3 linked regions of the Anolis sagrei genome follow. The protein of the gene in region 2 purifies or fractionates together with the protein of the main gene of each other region. This does not show direct contact. Links are inferred from orthologs where the notes say so. Each region holds a gene or a part of one and is shown on either strand. Other genes may lie near its edges. The genes, in order: tubulin alpha-1C chain, TXNDC9 and TUBA1A.

Region 1 (10,285 bases), on a different chromosome or scaffold from region 2:
CATTTTGGAGGGGGGGAGGGGGGCTGGTGTACAAACAAGGTGGAGAATAGGCTGGTCAAAAAGATGGATAGAATATATCACAGCATAAGAATAGAGCAGTTGTAATAGGATCCCTCAGTTCTTGTGGGTTTTTTCGGGCTATATGGCCATGTTCTAGAGGCATTTCTCCTGACGTTTCGCCTGCATCTATGGCAAGCATCCTCAGAGGTCTGTTGGAATTAGGACAAATGGGTTTATATATCTGTGGAATGGCTGGGGTGGGGCAAGGAGCTCTTCCCTGCTGCAATTAGGTGTGAGTGTTTGGCTAATCACCTTCATTAGCATTTGAAGGCCTGCTTGAACCTGGGAAAACCTGTTGCTGGGAGGTGTTAATCTGTGCCTGGTTTCTTCCTCTCTGTTGTTTAGCTGTTATAATTTTAGAGTTTTTTAATACTGGGAGCCAGATTTTGTTCATTTTCATGGTCTCTTCCTTTCTGTTGAAATTGTCCACATGCTTGTGGATTTCAATGGCTTCTCTGTGTAGTCTGACATGGTGGTTGTTGGTGTGGTCCAGCATTTCTGTGTTTTCAAATAATATGCTGTGTCCAGGCTGGTTCATCAGGTGCTCTGCTATGGCTGACTTCTCTGGTTGAAGTAGTCTGCAGTGCCTTTCATGTTCCTTGATGCGTGTCTGGGCGCTGCGTTTGGTGGTCCCTATGTAGACTTGTCCACAGCTGCATGGTATACGGTAGACTCCTGCAGAGGTGAGAGGATCCCTCTTGTCCTTTGCTGAACGTAGCATTTGTTGGATTTTCTTGGTGGGTTTGTAGATAGTTTGTATGTTGTGTTTCCTCATCAGCTTCCCTATGCGGTCAGTGGTTCCCTTGATGTATGGCAGGAACACTTTTCCTCTGGGTGGATCATCATCTTTACTCTCGTGGTTTGTTCTTGGTCTTGCAGCTCTTCTGATGTCTGAGATGGAATATCCATTGGCCTGGAGAGCCCAGTTGAGGTGGTTCAGTTCATCTTGGAGGAGGTGGGGTTCGCAGATTCTTTTTGCACGGTCTGCCAAGGCTTTGATGGTGCTTCTTTTTTGACTTGGGTGATGGTTGGAGTTTTTATGTAGATATCTATCTGTGTGTGTGGGTTTTCTGTAGACGGTGTGACCCAATTGTTGATCTGGTTTGCGGATGACTAGGACATCTAGAAAAGGTAGTCTTCCTTCATTTTCTTTTTCCATGGTGAACTGGATGTTTGGGTGGATGCTGTTAAGATGGTCCAGGAACCTGTTGAGTTCTTCATCTCCATGGCTCCAAATGGTGAAGGTGTCATCCACATATCTGAACCATATCGTGGGCTTTTTGGTTGCTGTCTCCAGGGCTTGTTCTTCAAAGTGTTCCATGTAGAAGTTAGCTATGACTGGGCTGAGAGGGCTCCCCTGAGATGGAGTAGCTATGGGGAGCCCTCTCAGCCCAGTCATAGCTCCCCATAGCTACTCCATCTCAGGGGAGCCCTCTCAGCCCAGTCATAGCTAACTTCTACATGGAACACTTTGAAGAACAAGCCCTGGAGACAGCAACCAAAAAGCCCACGATATGGTTCAGATATGTGGATGACACCTTCACCATTTGGAGCCATGGAGATGAAGAACTCAACAGGTTCCTGGACCATCTTAACAGCATCCACCCAAACATCCAGTTCACCATGGAAAAAGAAAATGAAGGAAGACTACCTTTTCTAGATGTCCTAGTCATCCGCAAACCAGATCAACAATTGGGTCACACCGTCTACAGAAAACCCACACACACAGATAGATATCTACATAAAAACTCCAACCATCACCCAAGTCAAAAAAGAAGCACCATCAAAGCCTTGGCAGACCGTGCAAAAAGAATCTGCGAACCCCACCTCCTCCAAGATGAACTGAACCACCTCAACTGGGCTCTCCAGGCCAATGGATATTCCATCTCAGACATCAGAAGAGCTGCAAGACCAAGAACAAACCACGAGAGTAAAGATGATGATCCACCCAGAGGAAAAGTGTTCCTGCCATACATCAAGGGAACCACTGACCGCATAGGGAAGCTGATGAGGAAACACAACATACAAACTATCTACAAACCCACCAAGAAAATCCAACAAATGCTACGTTCAGCAAAGGACAAGAGGGATCCTCTCACCTCTGCAGGAGTCTACCGTATACCATGCAGCTGTGGACAAGTCTACATAGGGACCACCAAACGCAGCGCCCAGACACGCATCAAGGAACATGAAAGGCACTGCAGACTACTTCAACCAGAGAAGTCAGCCATAGCAGAGCACCTGATGAACCAGCCTGGACACAGCATATTATTTGAAAACACAGAAATGCTGGACCACACCAACAACCACCATGTCAGACTACACAGAGAAGCCATTGAAATCCACAAGCATGTGGACAATTTCAACAGAAAGGAAGAGACCATGAAAATGAACAAAATCTGGCTCCCAGTATTAAAAAACTCTAAAATTATAACAGCTAAACAACAGAGAGGAAGAAACCAGGCACAGATTAACACCTCCCAGCAACAGGTTTTCCCAGGTTCAAGCAGGCCTTCAAATGCTAATGAAGGTGATTAGCCAAACACTCACACCTAATTGCAGCAGGGAAGAGCTCCTTGCCCCACCCCAGCCATTCCACAGATATATAAACCCATTTGTCCTAATTCCAACAGACCTCTGAGGATGCTTGCCATAGATGCAGGCGAAACGTCAGGAGAAATGCCTCTAGAACATGGCCATATAGCCCGAAAAAACCCACAAGAACTGAGTGATTCCGGCCATGAAAGCCTTCGACAATGTAATAGGATCCTTTTAGCTTAAAAATACAGTAATCAAATACAGGAACTTGATTTTTGGCCATGGTTAGGGACCATCTGTCAAAGGGATCGTCAGTGGAACATCCATGTCTTTAATTCCTTACAAAATGTGGATTGGGAGGGTGCTAACCTCATCTCCCTAGGGAGGAAGTTCCAGAGATGAGGGGCCACCACCGAGAATGCCCTTTCTCTCATCCCCACCAACCGCGCCTGAGATGGGGGTGGGAGTGAGAGAAGAGCATCCCCAGAAGTTCTTAGAAACCATGTGGGCTCGTAGAGGAGCATGCGGTCACGAAGATAGGCAGGTCCTGAACTGTTTTGAGTTTTATAGGTAATAACCTGCACCTTGAATTGGGACTGGAAACTTATTGGCAGCCAGGGAGCTGCAGGGGGGGGGGGGGTTGACTTGCAATCTGGTCGCTGACCTTTGCACTAACTGTAGTTTCCGAACCATCTTCAAGGGCAGCCCAAGGTAGAGTGCATTACAGTAGTCCAATTTTGAGGTAACTAAGGCGTGGACCACCATGGTCAAGTCAGACTTCTCGAGGTATAGTTGCAGCTGGCACACAAACTTTAACTGTGTGAAGGCTCTCCCAGCCACCGCCAATACCTTAGCATCAAGTGTCAGTGCTGAATCCAGGAGGACCCCCAAACTGTGGACCTGTGTCTTCCAGGGGAGTGTAACCCCGTCAAACACAAGTTGCCACCCTATACCCCGTTCAGCCAAGAGACTGATTTGGAGGACATCTGTCTTGTCAAGATTCAACTTCAGCTTGTTGGCCCCCATCCAGCCCATCACAGTGGCCAGGCACTGGTCCAGGATCCGAGGCAATCTTCTGCCCTCCAGGAGTTTTGAACTTCAACTCCCACCATTCCTAAAAGCCTCAGGGAAAAGGAAAAGGCCTGAGGCTGTTAGGAATGGTGGGAGTTGAAGTTCAAAACACTTGGAGGGAGGGCCCAAGTTGGACTTGGCCTGCTCTAAAGTCTCCACAGAAGGCAGGCTCATTGGTTCTGCCCTCAGCCTTGGCACAGGGGTCTCGTTGGCTTTTGGAGGGGCCACCACAAACAAACCCCTTCCTTCCCTTTCTTTGCGTGTGTGTCAGAAATGCAAGCAGAGCAGCCCTGCTCTCTCTCTCTCTCTCTCTCTCTCTGGGGAATGTGCTGTGATGGCATTTTGGGAGAAGAAACAGCCCAAACAGCCCCTTTCAGCCAGCTCCTCCTCCTTCTTCCACTGTGCTCACCATTTTTTCCCTCCTCAAAGACAAAGAAAGAGCGTTATACTGGGTTGTTTTGAGTTTTCCAGAAGCATTCTCTCCTGACGTTTCGCCTGCATCTATGGCAGGCATCCTCAGAGGTTGTGGAAAATGGGGTCATGGAAAGCCTTCGACAATACAGTGTTTATATTCCCGCCCTATTTTCTTTTGAAGCTTTTCTTTTGATGGAAATAACCCGGAAGTAGCGACTGAACGAATAAACAACATACACAACTAGGGAAAAAAATCCGGTTTCTGCCTCCCGCAGAATGCTGGGGTTTGTAGTTTAGGGAGGAGCCTTTAACAGCCTCCTTAAACTACAAACCCCAGAATTCTGCAGGAGGCAGAAACCGGATTTAAAGTGGATTCATTCTCAAGTGTGAAGTAGATGTGGAAAGTTTGTATCCTTCAAGAAAACCCCAAGACTCAGCTAAGGCTGCATCTACACTGAGGAGTTAACGCAGTTTGGCAACACTTTTAAAGTGTCCTGGCTCAATGCTTGGGAGCTGTAGTTTCTCAAGAGGAGAACTGGTGTTTCCCTCAAACGATGGTGTCTCCTGGAGATTCCGTCTGAACATTAGGAAGAACTTCCTGACTGTGAGAGCTGTTCAGCAGTGGAACTCTCTGCCTCGGAGTGTGGTAGAGGCTCCTTCTTTGGAAGCTTTTAAACAGAGGCTGGATGGTCATCTGTCGGGAGTGCTTTGAATGCAATTTTCCTACTTCTTGGCAGGGGGTTGGACTGCATGGCCCATGAGTTCTCTTCCAACTCTATGATTCTATGATAACTCTGGATTCCATCGCAATTTAAAAGCGCTACCAAACTGGGTTAATTCTACAGTGTGGATGGCCGCTTGGCTCACTGCCTGTCTCAAGGACCGCCCCACATTCAGGACTATTCGAGTTAAGATATTAAGGCAACCCCCTCCCCAGAGGAAAATTCGAACCCGCCAATTAGAGACAAGGGATTTTTGAAAAAAGGGAGGGGAGGGGGAGGGGAAATGCCTGTCTGCTGTAGCCCCGCCCCCGAGGCACAAAGCCCCGCCCACGCGGTTATAAAAGGCCGCGCCTTAGTCGTGGACGGGACCAGATCAGAAGTTCCTGCTCACTGGAGGCTCCCTTGACGAGTCGGTCAGTGAGGAAGACTTTCGCCTTCCTGACTTCCTTCTTCCTTTTCCGGCTTCTGTCTCTTAAACCTAAGCTCGCCCAGAAACATGGTAAGTGAGTGAGTGAAAGAGCCACACTTGGGGAAAGGAGACCCTTCGGCAGAGGAAGAGGGAAAAGTTCTGGAGAACTCTCAGGGTTGGGGAGCATTCAGCCAGAGCCGCTCAAGGGGTGCCAAACCGCCTTAATTCGACGGTGTGGATGTGCCCCTTTTCTTCTTCCTGCTCCTGGAGCTTCCCCAGAATATGTAGCAGTGCCTCTCCAGGTCGAGAAGGAAGGAAACTCCTTCTGCCGAACTTAGTCGCCATTTCTCCCTGCACACGTGTCTCGTGGCGTGGTCGGAAGGGACATGGTGGGAGTCGAAGTTCAAAATACATGGAGGGCAGAAGACTAAAGTGGTCAAGGGTCTGGAGAACAAGCCCTATGAAGAGCGGCTTAAAGACCTTGGGCATGTTTAGCCTGAAAAATAGAAGGCTAAGGGGAGACATGATATCCATGAATAAATATGTGAGGGGAAGTCATAGGGAGGAGCGAGCGAGCTTGTTTTCTGCTGCCCTGGAACAATGGCTCCAAACTACAAGAAAGGAGATTCCATCTGAACATTAAGAAGAACTTCCATACTGTTCAGCAGTGGAACTCTCTGCCTTGGAGTGTGGTAGAGGCTCCTTTGTTGGAAACTTTCAAACAGAGGCTGGATGGCCATCTGTTGGGGGTGCTTTGAATGCAATTTTCCTACTTCTTGGCAGGGTGACTGGATGGCCCATGAGGTCTCTTCCAACTCTATGATTCTATCTAGGGCAGGACCTGATTGGCAGGGCTTCAGAGTCTCAGGAGACAGATATAGCACGACTTTTGTTCCTGGGTTAGAAATGTAACTTCCTAATTGGTGTTATCATAAAAACATGGGGAAAGTTTATTAAAACTGCAATAACTTCATTTTGGCGGGACATCCTGCTGTACATTTTACTATAATTTTCCCATGAATATCTCATCTATTCAGCCTAGTCTGTGGCAGCCGCAAAACTCAAGTTTCTGGAGTGTAACAACTCCTTTCAAAGTAAATTCTGCACAATTAAACAGGAAATAACACTTGCAAAGCAGGGATAACTTTTTTCAAATTCTGTTACATAGTAGTGTTATTTGGGCAGGGTGCCCAGATCACGCCTAGCTGCTTTGTGGAGTTGGCTCTTCCCAAATGAGCTGCTCCTTTGTTTAGCTATGCTTAAGCGGATGAGGGGGAAAAGGAAAGGGCCTGAGGCTGTGAGGAATGGTGGGAGTTGAAGTCCAAAACACCTAGAGGGCCCAAGTTTGCCCATGCCTGATCTACACTATAGAATGAATGCAGCTTGACGCCACTTTCACTTCTATAACTCAGTGCAGTGGGATCCGGGAAATGTAGTTTGTCAAGTACTGTATCCTTCTCTGCTAAAGAATGATAGCGCCTCGTCCCCAAAGTAAAACTCCCAGGATCCCATATCATTGAGCCATGGTAGTCAAAGGCGTGTCTATACTGCATTCCTTCTCCAGTGTGGATGTACTCTTGCGCTCTCTCCTGGCAGTTTTTGCAGGAAGTAAATGAGAAGCGGAAGCTTTAGGCTTTCTGTATCTGCCAGAGTTTCGTTCCAGGATCTTCAGATCCACGGCTGCTCTAGTCCTATAGTCAGATATCTCTTCAAAGTACTGTATATCCCACCAGACTTTGGGACTCCTTCAGTGTGATAAAGAGTGAAATAATGTTCCTTAATCTAAAATTACAAAAAATAAAAAATGCCTTTTGGAATTAATTTATGTTCAAATACTTTAACCCTGGAATGGGCAAACTTCACCCCCTCAGGAGTTTTGGACTTCAAGTCCCATAATTCCTAACGGCCTATAGGCTGTTAGGAGTTGTGTGAGTTGGAGTCCAAGACATCTGGAGGGTCAAAGTTTGCCTGTGCCTTCTTTAAGTCAAGGATGGTTTTGTCCATGGTGCTGAGGACTGACTTTATATAAAGATGAGTGGAGAGAATAATTCGTAATGGTGAGTGCACAAGAAGGGCAGAGACTTCCAAGTGGAGCCATTCCAAAGCGTTTGACTTCCTGAGGCAAAATGATGCTCGTACCTATGACCCAGAGCCCCTGGTGGCGCAGTGGGTGAAACCGCTGAACTGCTGAGCTTGTTGACCAAAAGGTCGCAGGTTTGAATCCAGGGAGTGGCGTGAGCTTCCACTGTCAGCCACAGCTTCTGCAAATATGAGTAGATCAATAGGTACCGCTTCTGCGGGAAGGTAACTGTGCTCCATGCAGTCATGCCAGCCACATGTCCCTTGAAGTGTCTACGGACAATACCAGCTCTTTGGCTTAGAAATGAAGATGAGCACCAACTCCTAGAGTCGGACACAACTTAACTCGGGGGAAAACCTTCACCTTATCTATATCCCAGTTCAGGGAGCACCACTAGCCTGAGGCCACTGGGCAGTGCCAGATGTACCATTGTGCTTAAGCACAGGGTCCCATTGGTGGCGTGGGGGTGGGGAGGGGATCATCTTCCTGCACGATATTTTTTTTCCTTGTGTGGTGCAATTTGAAATTTGAAGGCTTTGTGTTTTGGAGGAATTTCAGAATTCCAGACTTCATATCTCCACGTGTTTTGGTCCTCAACAGTTGGTAGGCTGTTAGAAATTGTAGGAGTTGAAGTCCAAAATACCTGGAGGGCCAAAGTTTGCCCGTGCCTGATTTATAGTCTATGGGAGTGCGCCAGCAAGCAGGCAGTATAGACCTACTGGACTGACCTTTTTCAAGGCCCAAGGAAGGGGCCTCGTGACTAGCACAGGGCTTCATTTGTCCTAAACCCGGCACTGTCACTGAGTTGGCCAAGGCAGAGAATCTCATTATGCGTTGCCTGCTCACAGTGTCTGTGGATCTTTTCATAAATGTTATTCCCCAAATTAGTTCACTCTTGTCTGGTGGGGGAGCAGAAAAAATGCTAGTGGGAGATAGGGCCACGTTAACTTGCTTTGAGCGGCAGAATATGCCTTTCTCCTGGTTCCTGCATAGCAACCTGGTTGGTCACATCATCTTCCTGCCCTCCATTCCCGTTTGTGAATCATGTCCGCTGAGTCACTTTTCAGGGAAGGGGCCATTCAGAGGGGTGGCTCTGCCTCGGAGGGAGGAGACCCACCAACCCCAGAGCAGGCCTGAGAGGAGATGTGTGGAACGGCTCTTATTTCAAATATACCTCTTACTTCAGTTGAGCAAACTGCCTTGTGAAAATTTCCTTATACTCACCTTTTTTTTAAAAAAGTTGGTTGCCTATCCATGGGTTCACCATTTACAGATTCCACCACCAGCAGCCTTCAAAAATCCAAAACCAGACCTTGGTTTTGCCACTTTATATACAGGACACCATTTTACAATACTATTTGATCGAAGGTCCAGCCTTTTACCATGCCATTTTATATAATGGGATTTGCGCATCCTTGGATTTCAGTATCAGTGAGAGCCCTGGAACCAAACTCTGGCAAATATTACTGGGCTGCTGTGCATGTGGGGCATGCTTTAAGCCAGGCCTGAAACACAATAAATGTCTTGGGAGAGTGGGTTGAGCTCCCTCTGTCAGCTCCCCAAAGGGAAGCCTCCCACAAGGATGGTAAAACATCAAACATCCTTTTGTCCCCTGGGCAATGTCCTTGCAGATGGCCAATTCTCTCACACCAGAAGCAACTTGCAGTTTCTCAAGTCACTCCTGACACACAAAAAGTTGAAAGTGAAAGTGGCTCATTTTGAATAGCCTTGCTTCTGCAAAGATATTCCGTAAGGGATTCTATAGCAGAACATGACTTGAAGCTAGCTGTGAAGCAGCAGGGTGAAAGTTAAGAACAATTTCATGGATGTGCATCTCAGTGGAAAATGCAACTCTGAAGGATGGAATAGCTCTGTTGTATGACTCAGTGTGATAACAGGAGAGTGCTAAAGATGCAATTGAAACCTCCATTTTAAAAAGCATTATATTGCTTAATCACACAATCTTAAGTCGATTCTAAAAAATCTACCATGATTGAGAATGAAGTGGAATTTGCTATTTCAAAGTTGGGAGGATCATACATTCTGTAGAAGCCTATATAAAAATTTGCTGTTAAGACTACTGAAGTAGAAAATTTCCCGAGATCTCCCTCTGGGCTTTTCAGTGACATGCTATCGAATCATAAAGGGCAGTTACTACATGAGATGTGACTACTTCCATATGCTTGGTTTATACTTTGGATTCTATGCATTTCCAGAACATCATATGACTCTTCTCCTACAAAGCCTGCCATATCATTACACACAGTGAGGCAACCAATGAGGTAGCAATAGCCAGGTTCTTGGTTTCTTGTCTCAAAATCCCATCCATTCTCCTTTGTCAGTGTATTGAGTTGTGTGTGCCCCACAAGCCTGCATTTTTGTCTCATAAGATGTCCTGTTGCCTGAGAGATCTGGTGGGAGGATGTTCAGAGACCACCAGTTCAGAAGACACTGATTCAATGACCAATCCAATCACCTCTCCATGCTCTTCCATGGTTTCCAGGGAAGGCTTTTCAGTGAAAGATGTGAGATATGTGTGGAATAAAACACCTGGTCTATGTAGTCTTCTGGTAAAAATAGCCAGGACCTGATTCATCTGTTCTTAAGGACAGTAGTGATTGCATCTCAAGGAACGTACAAATATAGCTGTAGTAAATGCCAGGTGCTTTTAGGTGATCAAGGGTCTGAAGAACAAGCCCTATGAGGAGCGGCTTAAAGACCTGGGCATGTTTAGCCTGAGATGTTTGAGATGTCCTTCCATTAGGTTGTGGATCCTGGACTGCAATCCCCATCAGACCTAGACAGCAGGATCAGTCTAGAGACGTGACTACACTGTTAAGCCTGCCAATTCCTCACTCTTGTTCTAAATATTTAACTTCGAGCCCTTCCAGACAGGATCTGATCCCAGGTTTTTCTGCTTTAAACTGGATTATATGAGTTCCCACTGCTGGATAATGTGGCATAAACAGAAAACTTGGGATTTGATCCTGG
Region 2 (10,427 bases):
CTTTGATGCGAAGTCTCTCACACAGGAATGGAGATTTTTCAGCATTTAACTTGATAAACTTAGTTTCAATGTGTTTTTTTGCAAGCACTGTTAAGTGTTTGTCAAATATTAGGCATCTGAGAAAAAATAAAGCAAGAAAGTCAAATGTTATATAGTGCAATGATGAAACTAGGAGCTAAAGCCCATTTTGTTTTTTGGAAAATAATCTAGCCCTTGTGAAACTTGTTAAATTTGTTTTGTTAATAGTAGCATACAAACATTAAATTCAAATATACATAAAATGTTTAATTAAAAAGTAGATTTACTATATCCCATTTTCTTTTTCCTTAATGCTGTAAAGACGTTAAAATATATAAAGCATTAATTTATTCAATCACTGTGAAAAAATAACAAAAGCCTAATCTTGAGGTTACCAGTGATTGCGCTATCATCTTAAGGTCCTCCAAATCTAGGAAGGGGCGCAGCTGGCATATCAGCCAAAGCTGATAGTAAGCACTCCTGACCGTCGCATACACTTGGGCAGACATTTGGAGAAACGGTCTAGGAGCACTCCCAAGCTGCAAACACAGCCTTTCAGGGGGAGTTTAACCCCATCCAGAACTGGTTGACACACCTCCACCCCCAGGTTAGAAGCCCTGATGGCAAGCACATCTGCCTTATCGGAATTCAGTTTAAATTGTTTGCCCTCATCCAACTCATTACCTCTGCTATATGCTATGCTACAGCTGTTTTTGAAGCCATGGAGAAATATATTTGGTTGTCATTAGCATACTGATAACAACCCCCCATGCCTATGGATGAGCTCTCCTAGTTGCTTCATGGAGATAGAATGGCATCTTGTGGAATGCCACATAACTGTTCCTTTTCTGAGGAGTAGCTATCCCCAAGTGCTGCCATCTGTAACCTGCCTGTGAGGTACAATCAGAACCCCTGCAGTACAGTGCTTCTGATTCCCAGCTCTTCCAGGTGTTCTAGAAAGATACCATGACTGATGGGATCAAAAGCCACTGATAAGTCTAGATACACTAACAGGGACACACTCCCCCTGTTGGTGCTGCGATGGAGATCATCCACTAAGGAGACCACAGCCATCTCAAGTTCGCATCTTGCTCTGAAGCCTGTCTGAAATTGGTCAATGACATTTTTGTCATCCAAGAGCCCTTCCACATAGCCATATAACCCAGAATATCAAGGCAGAAAATCCCACAATATCAGCTTTGAACTGGGTTGTCTGAGTCCACACTGCCATATATTCCAGTTCAATACAGAAAATGGGGGTTTTATTCAGCTGTGTGGAAGGGGCCCAAGACTACCAGGAACTGGAGAGCAATTGCCTTTTCAATCGCCTTGCCCAAAAAAGGGAGAATAGACACTGGTCTGTAATTATTAAGATCCAGGAAGGGCTTTTTCAGTAGCAGTCTAACTACTTCTTCTTTTAAACAGGATGGAAAATTCCCTTTCCTGAGAGATGCACTGAAAATTTGTTGTATCTGAAATCTAATTGCATCTCCTCCCTGGATAACCAGCAGGGATCAAGTAAGTAGGGGTCAAGAAAGCAAGAGCATGCATATATCTTACAAAGTTTGTCATGTTTATTGTTATTCTTTTGTATTTTTGAGGTGTTTGTATTTGTTTCAGGGCATTGTTTGCTTTGTTCTGTTAGAAATGTAATATAATTGACTGGCTGCCCTGACACGAGAAATAAATAAAGGGCATTGAATGTTTGCCTTTCTTTTGTGTGTAAACTGCTTTGAGTCCCCTCGGGGAGATAGGGTCTATTAATAATAATAATAATAATAATAATAATAATAATAATAATGTAAATGCACAGAAATTCAAATTGAGGTTTAATTACTAGCCAAAAAAGGGCACCAGATTAGGTAATTAGTTCTAAGAAAATGGCATTTCCACAACCTATCTGCAATATCTTCAATTGATAATCTCTTTTACTAAGCATTTTATACTATAAAATGCCACAAGGCACATACTATACCTGTAAGTGGTATCTCTGTAAAAGTGGCAAACCACATTTTTGCTTCCTTTCACTTCCTGAAAAAAGTCTCTCTCACTGGGGACTTCCCGGTATTCTCCATGTCCTTTTGAAAGCCACTCCTATTTAATACAACCAGTTAGCATAACATTTCTACGCATTATTTATGGAATGAGACAAATAGCATCCCCTGATTTTAAAAAATAAGTATACTAGTCATAAGAAGCCCAATTCTATGAATCATGCAGAGTGCTGCATGCTTCCTTCTCTCAATTTATATCTAAGATTAGTAAGGCATCAATTCTAAAAGGACAAATACATTTAAGAGTCGGGGCTGACATCTAAGATGTAGGCTCCTAATGCCAACTTATGCATGTTTTATTTGGCAGTTCAGTCCTATGAACTTTACCCAACGAGCTCTGTTCTAAAGAAAAAGTATGAAAGATATTTCACCCTTACATATTGTTTACATCAGATATAAAACTGCCTGATTTTCAGACCTTTTTATCAGTGAGTAATTCATTTCAGGAAATGTCAGCTTTCAATCTAATGTTAAAATACTGTTTTCAGTAACTAATAAATGAGTCAAGTGAGAGAATGCAGTTGGTGTGTTGGAGCAGAAAACATGGGATCTTCTAGCACCCCAAAGACCAACAAGATGCGAGGTGGTGGTGGGGGGAGTCCTTACAACAACACAGAATGTCTGTTTATAGCAATCCCAACTTACCAGGAAAATGAATGTAGGTTTTAGTTTAAAGGTGAGAATCTTGTGACAGTGCAGTTTGTTGGACTGCAGATGCCAGTATTCCCTACTTTTGCCTATGCTGACTGCATCTATTGGGAGTTATAGGGCAGCACCACAGGATTCCCACCAGCCAGTCCCCCCCCCCCCCCCCCAGTAAGACAGCCTTGAAAAAGTTTCAGATTTTTGGCTAAAACGTTGACATACAGGTTGAGTATCCTTTACCCAAAATGCTTGGGAACAGAAGTGTTTTGAATTTTCTTTTGAAAATTTACATATATGTACATAATTAAATACCTTGCAGATGGGACCCAGATCTAAACATGAAACATGTTTATGTTTCTTATATGCTTATCCTGAAGATAATTTTATACACAATATTTTAACAATTTTGTGCATGAAACAAACTTTGTGTACATTGAATCATCAAAAAGTAACATCAAAATCTTAGTCCCCTGTGTGGACAGTTTTGGATTTTAGAGGATTCTTGGTTTTGGAATTCTGGAAAAGAGGTTTTCCACCTATACAGCGAGCTCTGGTGTACACATCATGCCTTCTTTTATTTGGACATTTTTCAAGTAATGTCTGTAACATACCAAAGTCTGGCACCCTCTGTCATACAAAAGTCCCTACTAATGTTGGTATTACTTTCAAATAGTTTCCTAAAATCCTTGCTTACTTGTTTCTGTTGCTGGGCTTTTTTCAGTGCTTCAAGCCTTCTTTGCTTTAGGATTTCCAGTTCATCTTCATCCACTTCATCAAGTTTTTGAATCTCAGCATCCAGTTGCTCTTCTACAATCTTAGCTGTCTGAAGCATCTGAGCCTCCAGAGCTTTTGAAAACATGTCTGCAGCCATTTCTCCTTTACATAGACTACAGAAACATTAAATCTGGAAAAAGAGTAGGTTTTTAAGTCAGAGCTAGACACCATGAAATGAAATTAGACCTTCATTCACATTCACTAATGACCAAGACACAGGATTAATTCAAGCTTTTTGTTATCTTTTGAAAATTTGATTGTACCAGTTTATTCTAAAGTTAAGGTAAAGGTTTCCCCTTCACATTAAGTCTAGTCATTTCCAACTCTGGGGGGTGGTGTTCATCTCCATTTCTAAGCCAAAGAGCTGGCATTGTCCATAGACACCTCCAAGGACATGTAGCCAGCATGACTGCATGGGACGCTGCTACCTTCCCGCTGGAGTGGTACCTATTGATTTACTCACATTTGCATATTTTCGAACTGCTAATGCCAAGGGAAACCTTGACCTTACTAATCTATTTGATGAGCTTCATCAAACTCTGACAATGTGTATGTCTAATGATGTCTTTCCAAATCAGTAAATAACTAGCGAGACACAAGGAAAATATCCAAATAGCATGAAAACGTCACGTTGCTTTGAGCCTAGAGCTGTGTGCTAATGGCAAAGCACACTATGCAGAAAAATCTTGAATTAAAAGAAGTTGTTGTAGCCAATTAAGAGGAATGAATAAGACTCAGAGGAAGGGGCTGCAACTCTGGGCACGTCCACATTGCTTTTTGAAACGGCTTTATATGGTCAGTATAGATCAGGCATGGGTCAACTTGGGTCCTCCAAGTGTTTTGGACTTCAAGACCCACAATTCCTAACAGCCTCAGGGCGTTTCCTTCCCCCCCCCCCTCAAACGCTTAAGCGGAAAAGGAGAAGAAAAGGAAAGGATCTGTTAGGAATGGTGAACTCCAAAACACCTGGAGGGCCCAAGTTGGACCCCCCCATTAGGAAGAACTTCTTGATTGTTCAGCAGTGGAACTCTTTGCCTCGGTGTGTTGGAAGTCTCTTCCTTGGAGGCTTAAGCAGCTGAGGGGGAAAAGGAGAAGAAAAGGAAAGGGCCTGAGGCTGTTAGGGATTGTGGGAGTGGAAGTCCAAAACACCTGGAGGGAGGGCCCTGCCTGGGATAGATTCATGTAGTTTAACGGCACTGAACTGCATTATATGAGCATGGAGTGACCATATAATGCAGTTTCAAACTACGTTATGTTCAAGTGTAGATGGAGGCCCAGAAGGTGGTTTCTACGGCCCCCATTTCTACCTTCTTCCCAAAGACCGGGCCTAAAGCCGGGACGAAACCGGATCAGGGCGCCCATCCAGGGCAACACCTCGGAAGCCATGACCTGGTGACTCACCGCAGTACAGGCCAAACGCCCGAAGTAGTGCGGACGCGGCTTGAAACGGCTTCGTTCCGCGGAGGCCTCTCTCTTCCTCTCTCCAGCCGGCGAAACGCCTCCGAGCCGTTGCCTGACGCGCCCTAAAGACGTTTGGTGACTGACGCACGAATTGGTCGTCAAGCGGCTTGGCCTTTATTGCGCATGCGTGATCCAGAATCTCGTCCTGCGTCTTCTTCCAAGCTTTGTTTTTCAACCGTACGTAGGGGGAGAGAGACTGCAAGGACCAGCATGCAATGCGCCAGGGAACCGCTCCCAGGACTTCCGCATCGCTGCAAACTACAAGGACCAGAATGCCTTGCGCTTCACAAGGAGTTGGGAGTTCAGAAAGAGCCACAGGGTTCCTCTCTAGGAACAATAGACTATTGGATATTCGTGTCGCTTGTGAAAACTTGATTAAATTATTAGCACTTTTACTGACATTGAAAGCTAAACCTTTGGCATCAACATTCAGACTCTCCAGAGCAGGCATGAGCCAACTTGGGCCCTCCAGGTGTTTTGGACTTCAACTCCCACAATTCCTAACAGCCTACTCCAAAGGGTGCATCAATACTGTAGATTAGAAGGACTGCAGTTTGGCATCGTCTGAACTGCCATGGCATCCTGGGATTGTAATTTGACAAGGCCTTTAGCCTTCTCTACCAGGCAGTAATGGTGCTTCGTCAAACTACAGATCCCAGGATTACAAAACATTGAGCCATTCCTGTCAAAAGTGTGGTGGGTTGAAGGCGAAGCTACAGAGGTTTATCACAATGTGGCCAAATAGGGAACGAGTACAAGCAATGCGCTTCCAAAGGTGCAAACATAAATTTACAGAAAAATACAAGACATCTTATACAGTTCTCACAGATATTCAGACTTTCTGCTCCCTCCCCTGATTGGCTGGAAAAAGAGGCAGGCTAGGATCCACACTCAGATTAGCCAAGAGTTCTCTTGATGTCACAGCCTACAGGTGGGGATTCTTGTGGTGGGAAGAAAGAGAGCTGGAAGTTACTCAGTTTAAAGCAGGGGTCCTCAAACTAAGGCCCAGGGGCTGGATACGGCCCTCTAAGGTCATTTACCCGGCCCTCGCTCAGGGTCAACCTAAGTCTGAAACGATTTGAAAGCAAACAACAATCCTATCTCATCAGCCAAAAGCAGGCCCACACTTCCCATTGAAATACTAATAAGTTTATATTTGTTAAAACTGTTCTTAATTTTAATTATTGTATTGTTTTAAAGTGTTTTTGCAATACAAATAAGATATGTGCAGTATGCATAGGAATTCATGCATGTTTTTTCAAATTATAATCCAGCCCTCCAATAGTTTGAGGGACTGTGACCTGGCCCTCTGTTTAAAAAGTTTGTGGACCCCTGGTTTAAAGAGTTAGTCTGTTGTAGGGACACCACTTGGGAGGGCACAATCCAGGAGGAAATGATGATGTGGGTATGCTGATGAGTCCCTGGTTAAGTCAAGTGTCCAGTTCCATGTGAGACAAAGTGTGCAAGACCCACAAAAGTGACGACCACAGAGAATCAAGGCTTTTGGCTGTTCCCATTCAGAGTTACTAGAGTAATATTTACTGAGCCCCCTCTTCTGTGGGAGAGGTGGACTGTCTGCTTCAAGCTAAACAAAGAAACATCCCGAGCTTACCCTGGTGACAAAGAGGATCTTACCCTGGTTACCCTGGTGACAAAGAGGTCTGCATACACACACACACACACACAGACAAAGGATTTTAATATTTATCTGGTTTAGGAAACCACCCTGGCTGTGGTTTCCTTTTCCAAGAGATTGTGAAAACTGAAGGCATGGATACATTTTGAAACACTTCATCTGATATAATTTATACTTGTAGAAATTGACACAGTACATAAAAGATACAAGTTACACATAAAATCTCAAGTTTAACATTCATTGATGGGTTAGATCTAATAGGGTTTGTAAGGTTCAGCTGCAGTTACGTCAGTTCTAGTGCTTTAGTATTTTGCAACTCGGGAACTGTGGAAAATCTATATAAATAAAAATGTAATGTAATACTCTCACCCAACCTTTTTAACGTGTATGCAGAACACATCATGCGATGTGCGGGGCTGGATGAATGCAAAGCTGGGGTGAAAATTGCTGGAAGAAACATTAACAACCTCAGATATGCAGATGACACCACTCTGATGGCCGAAAGCGAGGAGGAGCTGAGGAGCCTTCTAATCAAGGTGAAAGAAGAAAGCGCAAAAGCCGGGTTGCAGCTAAACATAAAAAAAACCAAGATTATGGCAACAAGAATGATTGACAACTGGAAAATAGAGGGAGAAATTGTGGAGGCTGTGACAGACTTTGTATTTCTAGGTGCAAAGATTACTGCAGATGCAGACTGTGGCCAGGAAATCAGAAGATGCTTACTTCTTGGGAGGAGAGCAATGTCCAATCTCGATAAAATAGTAAAGAGTAGAGACATCACACTGGCAACAAAGATCCGCCTAGTCAAAGCCATGGTATTCCCTGTAGTCACCTACGGATGTGAGAGCTGGACCTTAGGGAAGGCTGAGCGAAGGAAGATAGATGCTTTTGAGCTGTGGTGTTGGAGGAAAGTTCTGAGAGTGCCTTGGACTGTGAGAAGATCCAACCAGTCCATCCTCCAGGAAATAAAGCCCGACTGCTCACTGGAGGGAAGGATACTAGAGACAAAGTTGAAGTACTTTGGCCACATCATGAGGAGACAGCAAAGCCTAGAGAAGACAATTATGCTGGGGAAAGTGGAAGGTAAAAGGAAGAGGGGCCGACCAAGGGCAAGATAGATGGATGGCATCCTTGAAGTGACTGGACTGACCTTGAAGGAGCTGGGGGTGGTGACAGCTGACAGGGAGTTCTGGCGTGGGCTGGTCCATGAGGTCACAAAGAGTCGGAGACGACTGAACGAATGAACAACAACAAATGTTCGTTTGTGGGCTTATCATAACTCAAAAACCACTAGACGAATCGACACCCAATTTGGACACAAAACACCTCTCAGGCCAACGAGTGACCATCACTCATAAAAACACTGAAAAACACAGTGGAAGAGACTTAAAAAGCCAAATAATAAATAATACATTACAATGCATGTGCAAAACCACATATATACACATATACACATATACACAAATATATACACACACAAAACACTTATACAAAGACAGGGCCACAGCAATGTGTGGCAGGGGATGGCTAGTGTTTTAATAAAAAGGAAATGTCATCTAACTTGTTTAGTCTCATGATTGTCTATAAATATTTGGGTGGGGTGGGGGTGGGGCGCTTGTAATTCCAAACTGCCTTAATTCTACAGTGTAGATGCACCCTGAAATGGCAATAACCCCAGTTATATGCAGGAGCCAGTGTACTTGGAAGGATTATCAAATACATCTCTGTTGTTTGTTTCCTATGTTAAAAGGCCTCTCTTTAAGTCACCTTCGGCTGTAAAGTGTAAGAAATACTTGGAAATGAGACCCTATAGTTAATGTAGAAATATAACCCATTTCAGTGCTCCAGTGCATTTTAATTAAAGGATCCCCACAAATTAGTAGATGCAAACTGAGTTCTTTCTTGGTATCTCAGTTTGTTTTTCCAGTTGGGAATGCATTTAGGGCAAAAGCTGACAAGCCTGTATGATTAAATGGACTTCAATGCTTTATAAACCCAAAGGCAACCAGCTCCCTGCCTTTAATATTATGTTCTCTTTCCTGGCTTTAACACCATGCTTTCTTTCCTGCCTTCACCTGGGCCTCTTTTGATATTTCTGCCATGATTTGATTGCAGCTATCTCTGCAATCAAATTTAGTTTCTCCTGTATCACAAATTTAGTTTCTCCTGTAATGGAAAGTTGCACTGTGACTTTGTCTCTTAATTTAGGGACATCATAGATCATTTTGAAGGTACAGCTACACCGAAGAATTAATGCAGTTTATAATGTGTCATAATGTGTCAACAATTCAAAAACATAAAACAACTTCAAAGGGATATCTATATATACTATTTCAACACATTACACACACGGGGAGAGATAATATTACAGCCATTCTGTCATACTGGTGGTTTTGATCACTTATGGATCTGATTTAAAGAAGAGGGTTGTGAAGAAGTTGTTAAACTGCTGCCACCAATTGTGAAGAAGACCGTTTTAATGCCACCGAATGCCACCGAATGTGAAGGTGTGAGTGGTAAAACACCCACTGCCACCTAATCTATGAGGGAAGCCAGGCAACGATCAATATCAACCTAGGAGCTATTTCATAAAGGGACTGTTAATTACAGAAGGCTTTATTTATTTGATAGTGTAGCGTTTACTTTCCTGGCTTGACTTTACTATTGCAGGCTGTTCAACTTAGGAGAAACTGTATCAGGCAAGGCTTGAGGAGAACAGTAACAATTTTATTAGAACAAGCAAGGTATATCAGATTTGATTGTTTCTTCACAAGAGGCACGAATCTTGACTGGTTACATTAGTAAGGTTTCATGAGTAACCTAAGGCACAGACTTCAAGAGGTTTCTATACGCAGAAGTATTTTTCCTGGACAACTGTCCCAACAAAACAAATAAGCCAAAAGGCCTATTCAATAGAATTGGCTCACAGCCAAACCTTGATTCTTAATCCAGAATCAATAACCCCCTGTAGCTTTATCACTACCGGGTCCTTTTTTGTAACCCCTTTGGTCACAAATTAATTCCCTGAATCTCCACCCAGAGATTCAGTTTTCCCTGTAGCACACCGGCTACAGACTGCCACTTTCAAAAAGCTGCGCCGTGAAGTGATAGTTGGCTCCGCCCCCGTTGCTATGGCAACTCAGTTCAAGCCACTAGCCACCATCTCTAACAAAATATAATCCTACATACTTACAATTTATTAACTACTGTTTAAACAACACATAACCATAAGAATAGAAGTTACACATCGTCACAAGGGTAGTGTTCCATTACCCAGGCACTTGGGGGCACTAGAGAAGGATAATAAATTTTATGGGGGTGGAGGGTGGGTTGAAGGAGGAAAACCATTTCTCCTTGTGTTCCTGTTATTCCCATCACCCATGTCTCTGTTGTGGAAACAACCCTTATTTATGATATGGGACGGGGGAGAGGGAAAAACCAGCAAAAACAGGGGAAATGGTTTTCCTCTTCCAACTCTCTCCCCATAAAATGGGCTATAATTATCTCTCTAGTGCCCCCTAGTGGTCTCCGCCAGGATAATTGAACAGTACCAAGAAGATGTGTTGTCAAAGGCTTTCATGGCCAGAATCACTGAGTTGCTGTGAGTTTTCGGGGCTGTATGGCCATGTTCCAGAAGCAGTCTCTCCTGACCTTTCACCACATCTATGGTGAAATGTCAGGAGAGAATGCTTCTGGGCCATGGCCATACAGCCCGGAAAACCCAAAGCAACCCAGTACCAAGAAGAATTATTTCTAGGAATCTTTAGGTCCTCCACTGTGACTCTGTGGCCAACTTCCTCCATATAAACAAAGACATTCCTAGAGAGGTGTTCTCCTCG
Region 3 (10,788 bases), on a different chromosome or scaffold from region 2:
ATATGTGCATGTGTTTTATTTTATTGTATTTCATATTGTGTTCATTTTTATCTTTGTTTGTAGGCACCTTGTGCTGTCTGTAAGCCGCCCCAAGTCCCTTCAGGGAGATGGGGGCAGGATGTAAGAATAAAGTTATTATTCTTAGTATTATTATTGCAAAGGGATTGCCTGCAAGGTTGTTATTTCTTTAAGGGATTATCTGACAAGACATATTATTCGTTTTGTTTTCACCATCAGATATGTGTATGATGAAAAATATCAATTACACTATTAGATCTTCATATTGATAGTTTTAACTGGTGTCTATGGAAATCAGGATTCTTAATTTAAAGAGAGATGCACTGAGATATCTATAAGCAGTTATAATGCAACATTTTTAGAATTATGTTGGGAGGATAAAGTGGGGAGGATGAAACACAAATAAGATGAGGTTAGATAGTAATGTGATAAGTAAAAGGAGTAAATCTTCTTTTATCTATAAATTGATGATGTCTTACGAGTCTGAGCCTTCTCCAACCTGGTGCCCCTTCCCCCAGAGAATCTGGAATACAACTCTTCTCACCCACAGTATTTGGAATACAACTCTAATCATCCATATCTAGAGGTCATCAGTTTTATACGGCTACATTTGTTAGTACATGGGAAGATGGAGTTTGCACTCACCAATCACAGTTGGTTCCAAGTCTACAAAGACAGCCCTGGGGACGTGTTTGCCAGCTCCTGTCTCACTGAAGAAAGTGTTGAAGGAGTCGTCTCCTCCCCCAATGGTCTTGTCGCTGGGCATCTGCCCATCAGGCTGGATGCCATGTTCCAGGCAGTAGAGCTCCCAGCAGGCATTGCCAATCTGGACTCCGGCTTGGCCAACGTGGATAGAGATGCATTCACGCTAAAAGTGTGGAAATGGCATAAATGCACTTTTTTAATCGAGTACTTTTTGAACAACCTGTCTTTTTGATTAAGCAAAAATATCAGAAATTTCTTATACTTCTTTCATTTGGAAAAAGATTTCAGGTGCCTAAGAGCATCTGATGAATGCTCACGAGGCAAAAAGGACAGATAAATGTAACAGTTTCATGTTGAGTCCCTCTTATCTGAAATGCTTAGCACAGGAGGTGTTTGGTCCAGACTTTTTGAATCTTGGTATACCTGTATTTGCATACACAGACATAATGATGTATCTTGGAGATGGGCGTTTCCCCAAAGTCTTGGAATATCTCTGGATATTCCAAGGTATTTCTCACTTTTCTGTTCACTGTTGTTCAAGTCTTACTACAAGTTGAGTATTCTTGGATTTTTTTTAAAAAATTTGGAACACTTGCCATACATAATGACATATCTTGGAGACGGGAAACATGTCTAAACACAAAATCCATTTTATTACATATACACCTTATATTCATATTCTGAAGCTAATTTTATATGCAATATTTTAATAAATGTGTGTGTGAAGAATGGTGTATGTACGCTGAACCATCAGAAAGCAAAGGTGTCACTATATTGGAATAGGAGATAAGGGATGTTCAATCTGTATGAGTTCATTGTTCAAAATCATGTCATTCAAATCAGGATAAAAATAAAAATATGTGTGGAGAGAAGCCACCAAAGCCTTCAATGCTAAAGTAAGGTAAGCCAATGACAAGTGTAGTGAGTTAGTGGTGGGATCATACCTTTCAATGCCAGGCTGCCACACCCACCCTTTGTTCCTGACTACTCTAAAGCTGTGATCACTGCATTCCTGATCCAAATTTCCTTTTGCTTGATTTATTCCATCAGTAGATCTCAAAATTACTATTCATTAATGTTTAGCCTCCCAGACTAGGAAGAGACCACATTTCCAGAAAACAAAAGAGATTTGTGACCACTTTGCCCTGGGCTTTTCTGCTGACTTTGCAGGTGGAGGTGCCCACCTGCAGGAACCTGCTCATTCTGCATTCCTTGTACTGCAGAATAATGTCATTTGGTGAGAGAGAAGCCCGCCTGTGCCACACCCTGCCCAGGAAGACTAGGGATACACTCCGTGGTAGGAACAAGCTCCTCCTCATTGTTTGGCTGCCTGTGTTGGCTCTGACTGCTGCAATCCGCAATGGATTAACACAGCCGGGTCTATTTCCAGCATGATCTCATTATGCTGTTTTTCTTATTTTCCCTCCTCTGACCTCAGAGGAGATCATGCTTGAAAATGAAATCATTCAGTGCTGAGGATTGAATCGGGAGACAAATTCATGGCAAGAAAGCCTGATGATGAATGGAGACGAGTGTCTGTTTTGGCTCTGATATTAGGGACGCGTGTCTGATATGGACAACATAAGAAAAATAAAATTATAAGAAGTTGTTCCCATCTCCTTTTAATGCATTGAGAATGCTGCAGACTAAAAAGTGGTGGGCACAGAGCAGACTGGTGTGGAAGGGGCTTGGTGGAAGCAGAAACCCCCACACATTTGGGCTGCAGCATTGTCTGTGGCTTAATTACATTCGGGTCACATCTGCCAAGGGAGCCTCCCTCTTTGTCTGCTGGGTCAGCCATCCCCTCCTGCCTCCTATTCATGGAGGGACCTCTTTGCCTCAAGGCATCTGGCCTCTAGGGAGGGAGGGAAGGAAGGAGTGGGGAAGCTCTGTCCCTGTGATCCTCCCTCCAGCTGGCCCCTTTGCAGGGCTTCCTTTCACAAGGCCCCTCTTTATCCTTATGGGAGCCATGCTGCAAAGCCAGGGCATGGCTTAGGAACCCCCCCCCCCACACTTTCCCATCTTCTCCAATGAGGCAGCCTCTCCTCCATTCACTACAACTGGGGACCCTTCCACATAGCCCTATACCCCAGAATATCAAGGAAGAAAATCCCTCAATATCTGCTTTGAACTGGGTTGTCTGAGTCCACACAAGGGGCCCTTCCACACAGCCCTATATCCCAGAATATCAAGGCAAAAAAATCCCACATTATCTGAGTGTGGAGAACCCAGTTCAAAGCAGATATGGTGGGATTTCCTCCCTTGATATTCTGGGTTACATGGCTGTGTGGAAGGGCCCTGAGTCCAACACTCAGATAATGTGGGATTTCCTGCCTTGATCTTCTGGGCTATAGGGCTGTGTGGAAGGGCCCTGAGAGAGGAGAGGACAAGCCCTTTGCCTATCTAGGGAGGGTCAGGTCCCAGTGGATTCAGTTGGACTGACCCCTATGGAACAGTAAAGAGGGGTGAGTAGTCCAGGCGCCCCTCCTTGGAGGAGACTCCAGGCTTTTTCTTAGCAGCTCCTCCATGCTGGCCCCTCCCTCCTCTCTCCCTCCCTGTCTTCCCACTGACACTGCAATCCCGCCTCAGAGGCCCTTTCACACAACCCTAAACCCCAGAATATCAAGGCAGAAAATCCCAATAGTGTGGACTCAGATCCAGTTCAAAGCAGATACTGTGGGATTTTCTGCCTTGATATTCTGGGATATAGGGCTGTGTGGAAGGGCCCTGAAAGATGAGAGGACAAGCCCTGTGCCTATCTAGGGAGGGTCATGCCCCACTGGACTGACCCCTATGGAACCGTGCAGAGGGGCTGGGCAGTCCAGGCACTCCTCCTTGGGTGAGACCCCAGGCTTTTTCTCAGCAGCTCCTCCATGCTGGCCCCTCCCTCCCTGTCTTCCCACTGACACAGTCATCCCAACACAGAGACCTCCACCCTGGGGCCCTTCCACACAGCCCTATATCCCAGAATATCAAGGCAGAAAATCCAAACAGTGTGGACTCAGATTACCCAGTTGAAAGCAGATATTGTGGGGTTTTCTGCCTTGATCTTCTGGGATATGGGGCTGGATAGCAATGCCTTTATTGGGAAGGAGAAAGAGACCCCACCCCAAAAGGTCCAGCCACCCAGGGGCGTATCCTAATACCTCCGGATGCATTTCTTGGGAAGGAGAAACGTCCCACCTACCTATCAGAGGGCGTATCCTACCAAGGGGGCTCCCAACAACCCAATGGCCGTCCTGCTGATTCGGAAAGCCCACCAGACGCCCCCCAATCGGATTTCCCTTTGGCGTTTTCCGAGGCAGGAAGGCATGAGCTTAGAGAAGGAATGGATTGAATGGCAAGGAGCAAAGCCCTTTTCGATGCGGTTCAGTCTCTCAGGCTGGTCCAGCCACCTCCCTCCCTCCCAAGCAGAGGTTTGGGGCGGGTCTACACTGGAGAACTAATGCGGTTTAGCCGCCCTGGCGCAATGCGATGGCATCCTGGGGGTTGTGCTTTGGTGAAATGACCAAGGACTGCATAGCATTGAGCCAAGGCAGCTAAAGGGGGTCAGACTGCAGGAATTGGACAGTGGAGAAGAGATGCACCCTGGGAGAAGGGAGGAAGGAAAGGAATCGAGGAAGGAAGGGGAGGGAGCCCCCCTCCCCTCCCCTCTCCCCATGATTGCACAGCCTTGAGGGTGAAAGTGGTACCAAACTGCGTCCATTCCGCTGTGTGGATGCGGCCTTGGAGCCCCCACCCGGCGGGCGCGTCTTACCATGGTTGCTGCTGTTGTTGTTGTTGCTGCGGAGCGTGGAGGCGCGGAACCCGGGGAAGAAGGGAGGAAGAGGGGCCTTTCTTACAGCGCGACTCTTAGGAGGTCGATGTAAGAGAACCTGTCGCGCCGGGGCCAACGCGGGCCCCTTATATACAACCCCGTCACCATGGGGACGGGCCGGGGCGGGCTGGGATTGGCCGAAGCGCCCCCCGCTCTGGACGGGAGGAGGAAGGCGATTGGCTGAGGGCGCATAGGATGAGGTCATCGCCCCGCCCCCTCCTTTCTCAGCATCCCAAGCCTGTCTGCATCCTCCAGACAAAGGGACCAAGCCGAAGAAGGGCTCGCCATCATCATCATCACCAGGCATCCATCATCCTCCCCTTGGGCGCGCCAAAAGGAGGGGTCAGGCGGGCGGGGAGCAAGGAGGGGGGAGGAAGGACGGGTTTTGCAAGAGGGTAGAGCACTTGGGGGAGAAGAAGCGGGTTTGTTCCTCAGGACAAATAGTAAAGCCTATGCCAGCCCTTTATCACTATGACCCAACCCCTCCTCTTTGCAGGGACCCAGGAAAGGGTCATGCCATGCCTTTAAATCCACCTGCTAGCAAAGACAAAATGGGAAATGTCTTTGGAAAATGAGCTAAGAGGACGTAACTGGTGTTTTATGCTTTTAATGTTTTTACAGGGTTTGTTGTAATGTGTGTTGATTGTCTTAATTTTATTTATGTTTATTGTGGCATTGAATCGTGCCAGTGTAAGCTACTTTCAGTCACCTTGGGCATAGAAATGCAGTAAATAAATAAACAATAAATAAATAAATATGTATATATGTGTGTGTGTGTGTTTATTTGATTCTAAGACACTATTGATTGTAAAACACACACTAATTTCAGTACTACCCACAAAAAATACATAAGATGCAGCTAAGGCTCCTTCCACACAGCTGTATATAGTCCCACATTATCTGCTTTAAACTGGATTATATGACAATGTGGACTCAGATAACACATTCAAAGCAGATATTGTGGATGATCTGCCTTGATACTCTGATTTATATGACTCTGTGGAAGGGCCCTAAGATGCATCCCATTTTTAGATTTCTATGGGTGAAAAGGTGTCTTAGAATTAAGTAAATATAATATGTGTGTGTAAGTGAGTCTATATACTGGGTATGCCAAAAGTCACAAAGGGGTCCTATATGGGCCCTTCCACGCAGCCCTATATCCCAGAACATCAAGGCAGAAAATCCCACAATATCTGTTTTGAACTGTGTTATCTGAATCCACACTCAGATAACGTAGGATTTTCTGCCTTGATATTCTGGGATATTATTATTATTAACCTTTATTTATACCCTGCTAACATCTCCTGAAGGACTCGGTGCAGCTTACAAGAGGCCAAGGCCCAACACATCAATAAAACAACAGCATAGGAATACAACAATAAATAACTCATAAAGCAAAACAATAAACATTAAAAACAATAGCAATAAACATTAGACAATAACACCACAACGCATTTAAAACTGAGGCCGGGCCAAATGTAATGAATAAAAATTTAAAAAATGCTGGACCTGACAGGTGAAATGGGTAGGTTTTTGGAGATAAGTGCGGTGTGCAGACAATCTAAATCTGTAATAAAGTGCATTTGGGACATGATGCTAGGAGATTCCTGTTCTGGGAAGACACACTGGAACAGCCACATATAGGGCTGTGTGGAGGGACCCAGCATCTTGTATATGATGCGATGATAGTGGATGCCATATATGAGAATGAATTTTTCACAAATTAGGAAATGACATTAGGATACCTGCTTTTAACTGGGTTATCTGAGTCTACACTGCCACATATTCCAGTTCAAAGCAGAAAATGTGGGACATTATTCAGCTGTGTGGAAGGGGCTTCACATGACAGGAAAAGAGTTGCCACCTGAACCTTATGAAGGGCTTTCTGGTGGTAAGAGCTGTTTGACAGTGGAATATTCCGCCTCAGAGTGTGGTGGAGTTTCCTTCTCTGGAGGTTTATGACCATCTGCTGGGAGTGCTTTGATTGGGTGTGCCATCATGATAGAATGGAGTTGAACTGGATGAGCCTTGTGCTCCCTTCCAGTGCTCTGATTCTATGGAAACTGGAAAGAAACTGGCACCTGTTTTCAAAAGCACACTCAGAGTTTCATCCTTTTCTTTTGCTAGTATGGCAAGGCGTGGCCTGCATACCCGCAAAGCACCCCCAGTCAGTTACGGCACATAACGGTGAATTATTCTCTCAGCACCAGCAAGCACAATTTTTCCCGGCTCTTCTCCCGCCTTTCCTCCCACCACTTACTTGCCTCCTACTAGTCTGGCAAGCCAGAAGGAGGAAGGGAGCGGAGGGAAAGAGAGGCAGCAGGTGGAGAAGGCGGGCCTGGCGCCTTCTTTTTCTTTGCCAAGAGAGACCCAAACACTTCCTTTCTTCCCTGCCTGTCTCCATCTTCTGAATATTTCCAACCTTTACAATCACACCCATTTGCTCGAGTCTATCTTATTTAAGCCTGCCTTACTATGTTCTGTTATTCCTCTGTGCAAAATGACAGCCTCCATTCTGTACCGAACCAATGTCTTTTGCTGACTGTGAGTGCATGTAGAATTAATGCAGTTTGACACCATTTTATCTGCTATAGCTCCATGCTATAGAATTATGGCAGGTGTCATTTCACCTTCTCTGCCAGAGACTGCTGGAGCCCCACAAAATTATAAATCCCATTTAGGCTGGCTCTATGCTATGGATTCAATCCAGTTTAATAATAATAATAATAATAATAATAATAATAATAATAATAATAATAATGTTTTCATGCCAGGAGCAACTTGAGAAATTGCAAGTCACTTCTGGTGTGAGAGAATTGGCTGTCTGCAAGGACGTTGCCCAGGGGACAGGCGGATGATTTGATGTTTTTATCATCCTTATGGGAGGCTTCTCTCATGTCCCCGCATGAGGAGCTGGAGTTGATAGAGGGAGCTCATCCGCCTCTCCTTGGATTTGAACCCGCGACATCTTGGTCTTCAGTCCTGCTGGCACAGGGGTTTAACCCACTGCACCACCGGGGGCTCAATAATAATAATAATAATAATAATAATAATAATAATAATAATATATTTATATTTCGCCCATTCTCTCCTAGGGGACTCAGAGTGGATTCCAGCATATATACAGACACAGGCAAACATTCAGTGCCTTTGAAACACATAATTAAACACAAATACACAGACAAAGGCAAAGGCTTTCCCTTTCATCTCCAGCTCTGGAGGCAGTGCTTGTCTCTGGCTCCGGGGGAGATGCTCAACTCCATTTCAAGCCGAGGAACCTGTGTTGTCCTGGTCATGTTGCCGGCATGATTTCGTGGGGCACCCTTTTACCTAACCGCTGAGGCAGTACCTATTGATCTACTCACATTTGCATGCTTTGGAACTGCTAGGTTGGTAGAAGCTGAGGCTGATAGTGGGAGCTCACCCCGTCTATTGGATTCGAACTGCAAACCTTCAAGTTAGCAAGCTCAGCAGCTCAAGAGTTTTTTACCTTGTTGTGCCATCCCGGCCCCACTTTAGGTGCCATTACTCTGTGCTATGGAATCCTGTGGCTTGTAGTTTGGTTAAGGACTTTGTAAAACTGCAACTTCCACAATTCCATGGCATGGAGCCAAATGGTGCCAGACTGCATTAATTCTACAGTGTAGGTGCATTCTGAGGCAGAGCAGCAAAGCTCTCCCTCCTCACCTCTGGTCAAGAAGCCTTGTTGTTTCGACATCAAGCAGGCTAACCAAATACCTAACAATTTGTTGCAGTTTGTGAAAGCTCAGAACTGCTAATTTGGGGGTGCCTGACGGTAGAACTGGTTCTGCTTCTTCCTATGAGCACACCACAATATATTTATTTGTGTATTTGTTTGAATTATATCCTGCTTAATTGGAAAGGTTGGGCCTTGACTTTGATCTTTTACCAGTTCATTAGCGTCTCTGCTCCCCTCCCTCAGCACAGCTTCTGACAATTACTATTTTGATGGACTGTCAGTTGCCCTTTCTCTTGTTTTAGTGTTACTACATTGCACTGGTCACCATAAGACTTAAAGAAACTCTCTCTCTCTCTCTTTCTTTCTTTGTGTCCTTCCTACACCTCTCTCCCCTTTTTCTTTCCCCAGTGGGTTGCCAAGGGAGGGACAGACTGTTCTTGCCAGAGGTCTGAATCTGCCCGTGGGCTTTTGAAATTAGACCAAGGTCTGCAAATTGTCGGTGTCTAGTCTGAAATATTTATTTTTTAATGTGCATTGGTAGATTTCCTCTTTTTAAAAACAAAAAATATCCTAAAGTATTTGATGATGTTTAGTGATAAAAACAGGTCTGTATGCGGAGGAGCGTCATTTGCGCCAGGATTCTCAGTTGGTACCAGGTGAGCATTAATATTTAATTGTAGCCAATCTCCCTTACAACAAACACATGAAATAGATCAAATTGGCATGAGCACCTGGTTTGGGCACAATTGCTGTACATTAGCAAATCTGGAGATTTGCATCTTGGGAGCCACTGAAATATGCATAGGTTAACTCTATCTGGGAACAAAGAGAATGTGCAACAGCAGTGATAGATTCCCCGCCTCGTACTGCAAAATGCTGCATTTGCCTTCTCCAGTGCTTCACATCCAATATCCTATACCACTCCCTGAATGATGAGCTGTATTTCTGAGCAGTGGCATTACACACTTCTTTACCAGCAAGGTCGAGATGCGAAGCTGGGAAAAGGAGATTTGCCATAGATTGGACAAGTTATCAGAATAATTAAATTCTGGTTTATAGCATGGCTTTTAAGAGAGAGAAAGACTCAGCTTTGAAGTAAGATCTAATTAAACACTACCCAATAAAAATAAACATGTTAAGATATTGAAGCAGATTACAACAAAAATGTCTTACTTTTGTTGTTATTTTAGTCTTAGTAAAGGTAAAGGTTTCCCCTTGACATTAAATCTAGTTGTGTCCAACTCTGTGGGGTGGTGCTCATCTCCATTTCTAACCCAAAGAGCCGGCGTTGTCCGTAGATGCCTCCTAGGTCATGTGGCTGGCATGACAGCATGGAGCGCCATTAGCTTCCCGCCAAAGCAGTACTTATTGATCTACTCACATTTGCATGTTTTCGAACTGCTAGGTTGGAAAAAGCTGGGGCTAACAACAGGAGCTCACCTTGTCTTGCGGATTTGAATCACTGACCTTCCACCTTCTGGTCAGCAGGTTCTGCAGCTCAGCGGTTTAACCCACTGTGCCACCGCAGCCCCCGATTTTATTCTTAGACCTATAAAAATTGATCTTTTGATCTGTGGAATACACCCTAAATTTAATCCTTGGTGATAGTTACTAATGTAGACTACCAAGGCAGTATAAAGTCTCAGCAATGCCTTTCTATGCCAAGATAGTGAGCTCATTGTGGAATGAAGTCTTAAGTCCCAGTGTGTGGCCACACTTGCCTTTTTGCAAGTGGTTCAGGCACATGACAGATGTCTGTAAGAGAGCTGCAAATATTTTTCAAAACAGATGTCCTAGCTTTTTAAAAAGCTTCCTATTAGGAAGAAATAGTAAAAGTGTCCCTTTTGTTGCAGGTCTTTTATCTCATCATAATGAAAGCATTTTCCCAACCCACCTTTCTCAATCAATGGTCTCTTTGAAACAGCTTACAAAAGCTTCAAAAACTGCAAGCAGAGCCTTGTTTTAGAAAAGAAGTCCCCACTGAAACCGTTTGCCTCCAAAACAAGGTGTGTGCTCCCTGAGTTTCTTTTGACAGGAAAGGGTGCTTTTAGCAACTGGAAGCATTCCTCTGTTTCTGGTTGTTCCTGCATCCCTGAATTTTGGGAGTATATGGCAGCATAGGGGAGGTGGCAGGAATTCAGAAGCTAAAAGGGCTCTCAAATTGACCAAAGATACTAATTCCTGAGATATATAAAAATACTTGGTTCTATTTTTTGGTGGAGCAAGTCTGAGTGGTGGAGCAAGACTGTGGAAGACCAGAGTTGGGATCTCTGCCCGGCGATGGAAATTGTCTGGATGGATTTGGGCAAGTCATGCTGTGAAAACATTGGTCCTGCTCCATCTGAACAAATCAGACCAAGAAAACCTTAGGGTGGTGTCACCATAAGTCAGAGATGACTTGACGACACACAAAAACAACAACAGCAACAACAATTGTATTATTATAAATGTATAATTGTGACAATTTGGACATCATGCCATCCTGAATGGGAGGTTCTAACTCAACTTCAGTTGTGTAAGGTTTGGCTGGATTACATGATGAGCATAG

What was found.
Region 1: the proteins of TXNDC9 (region 2) and tubulin alpha-1C chain purify together in Homo sapiens (co-immunoprecipitation; 3 studies listed by BioGRID and IntAct, counting the BioPlex papers as one, with this or other methods). This does not show direct contact. The link is inferred for Anolis sagrei from reciprocal best matches to the Homo sapiens genes TXNDC9 and TUBA1C.
Region 3: the proteins of TXNDC9 (region 2) and TUBA1A purify together in Homo sapiens (affinity purification with mass spectrometry; 3 studies listed by BioGRID and IntAct, counting the BioPlex papers as one, with this or other methods). This does not show direct contact. The link is inferred for Anolis sagrei from reciprocal best matches to the Homo sapiens genes TXNDC9 and TUBA1A.

The regions. Positions count from the first base shown.
Region 1 is NC_090022.1:145,730,271-145,740,555, reverse strand, and holds the start of tubulin alpha-1C chain, read left to right. Parts: upstream 1-5,148; 5' UTR 5,149-5,301; coding exon 5,302-5,304; intron 5,305-10,285. UniProt on the Homo sapiens protein: Tubulin is the major constituent of microtubules, a cylinder consisting of laterally associated linear protofilaments composed of alpha- and beta-tubulin heterodimers.
Region 2 is NC_090023.1:102,690,796-102,701,222, forward strand, and holds the start of TXNDC9 (thioredoxin domain-containing protein 9), read right to left. Parts: upstream 5,126-10,427; 5' UTR 4,893-5,125; intron 3,622-4,892; 5' UTR 3,589-3,621; coding exon 3,412-3,588; intron 2,113-3,411; coding exon 1,994-2,112; intron 117-1,993; coding exon 1-116. UniProt on the Homo sapiens protein: Significantly diminishes the chaperonin TCP1 complex ATPase activity, thus negatively impacts protein folding, including that of actin or tubulin.
Region 3 is NC_090022.1:145,791,005-145,801,792, reverse strand, and holds the start of TUBA1A (tubulin alpha-1A chain), read right to left. Parts: upstream 4,628-10,788; 5' UTR 4,484-4,627; coding exon 4,481-4,483; intron 887-4,480; coding exon 664-886; intron 1-663. UniProt on the Homo sapiens protein: Tubulin is the major constituent of microtubules, a cylinder consisting of laterally associated linear protofilaments composed of alpha- and beta-tubulin heterodimers.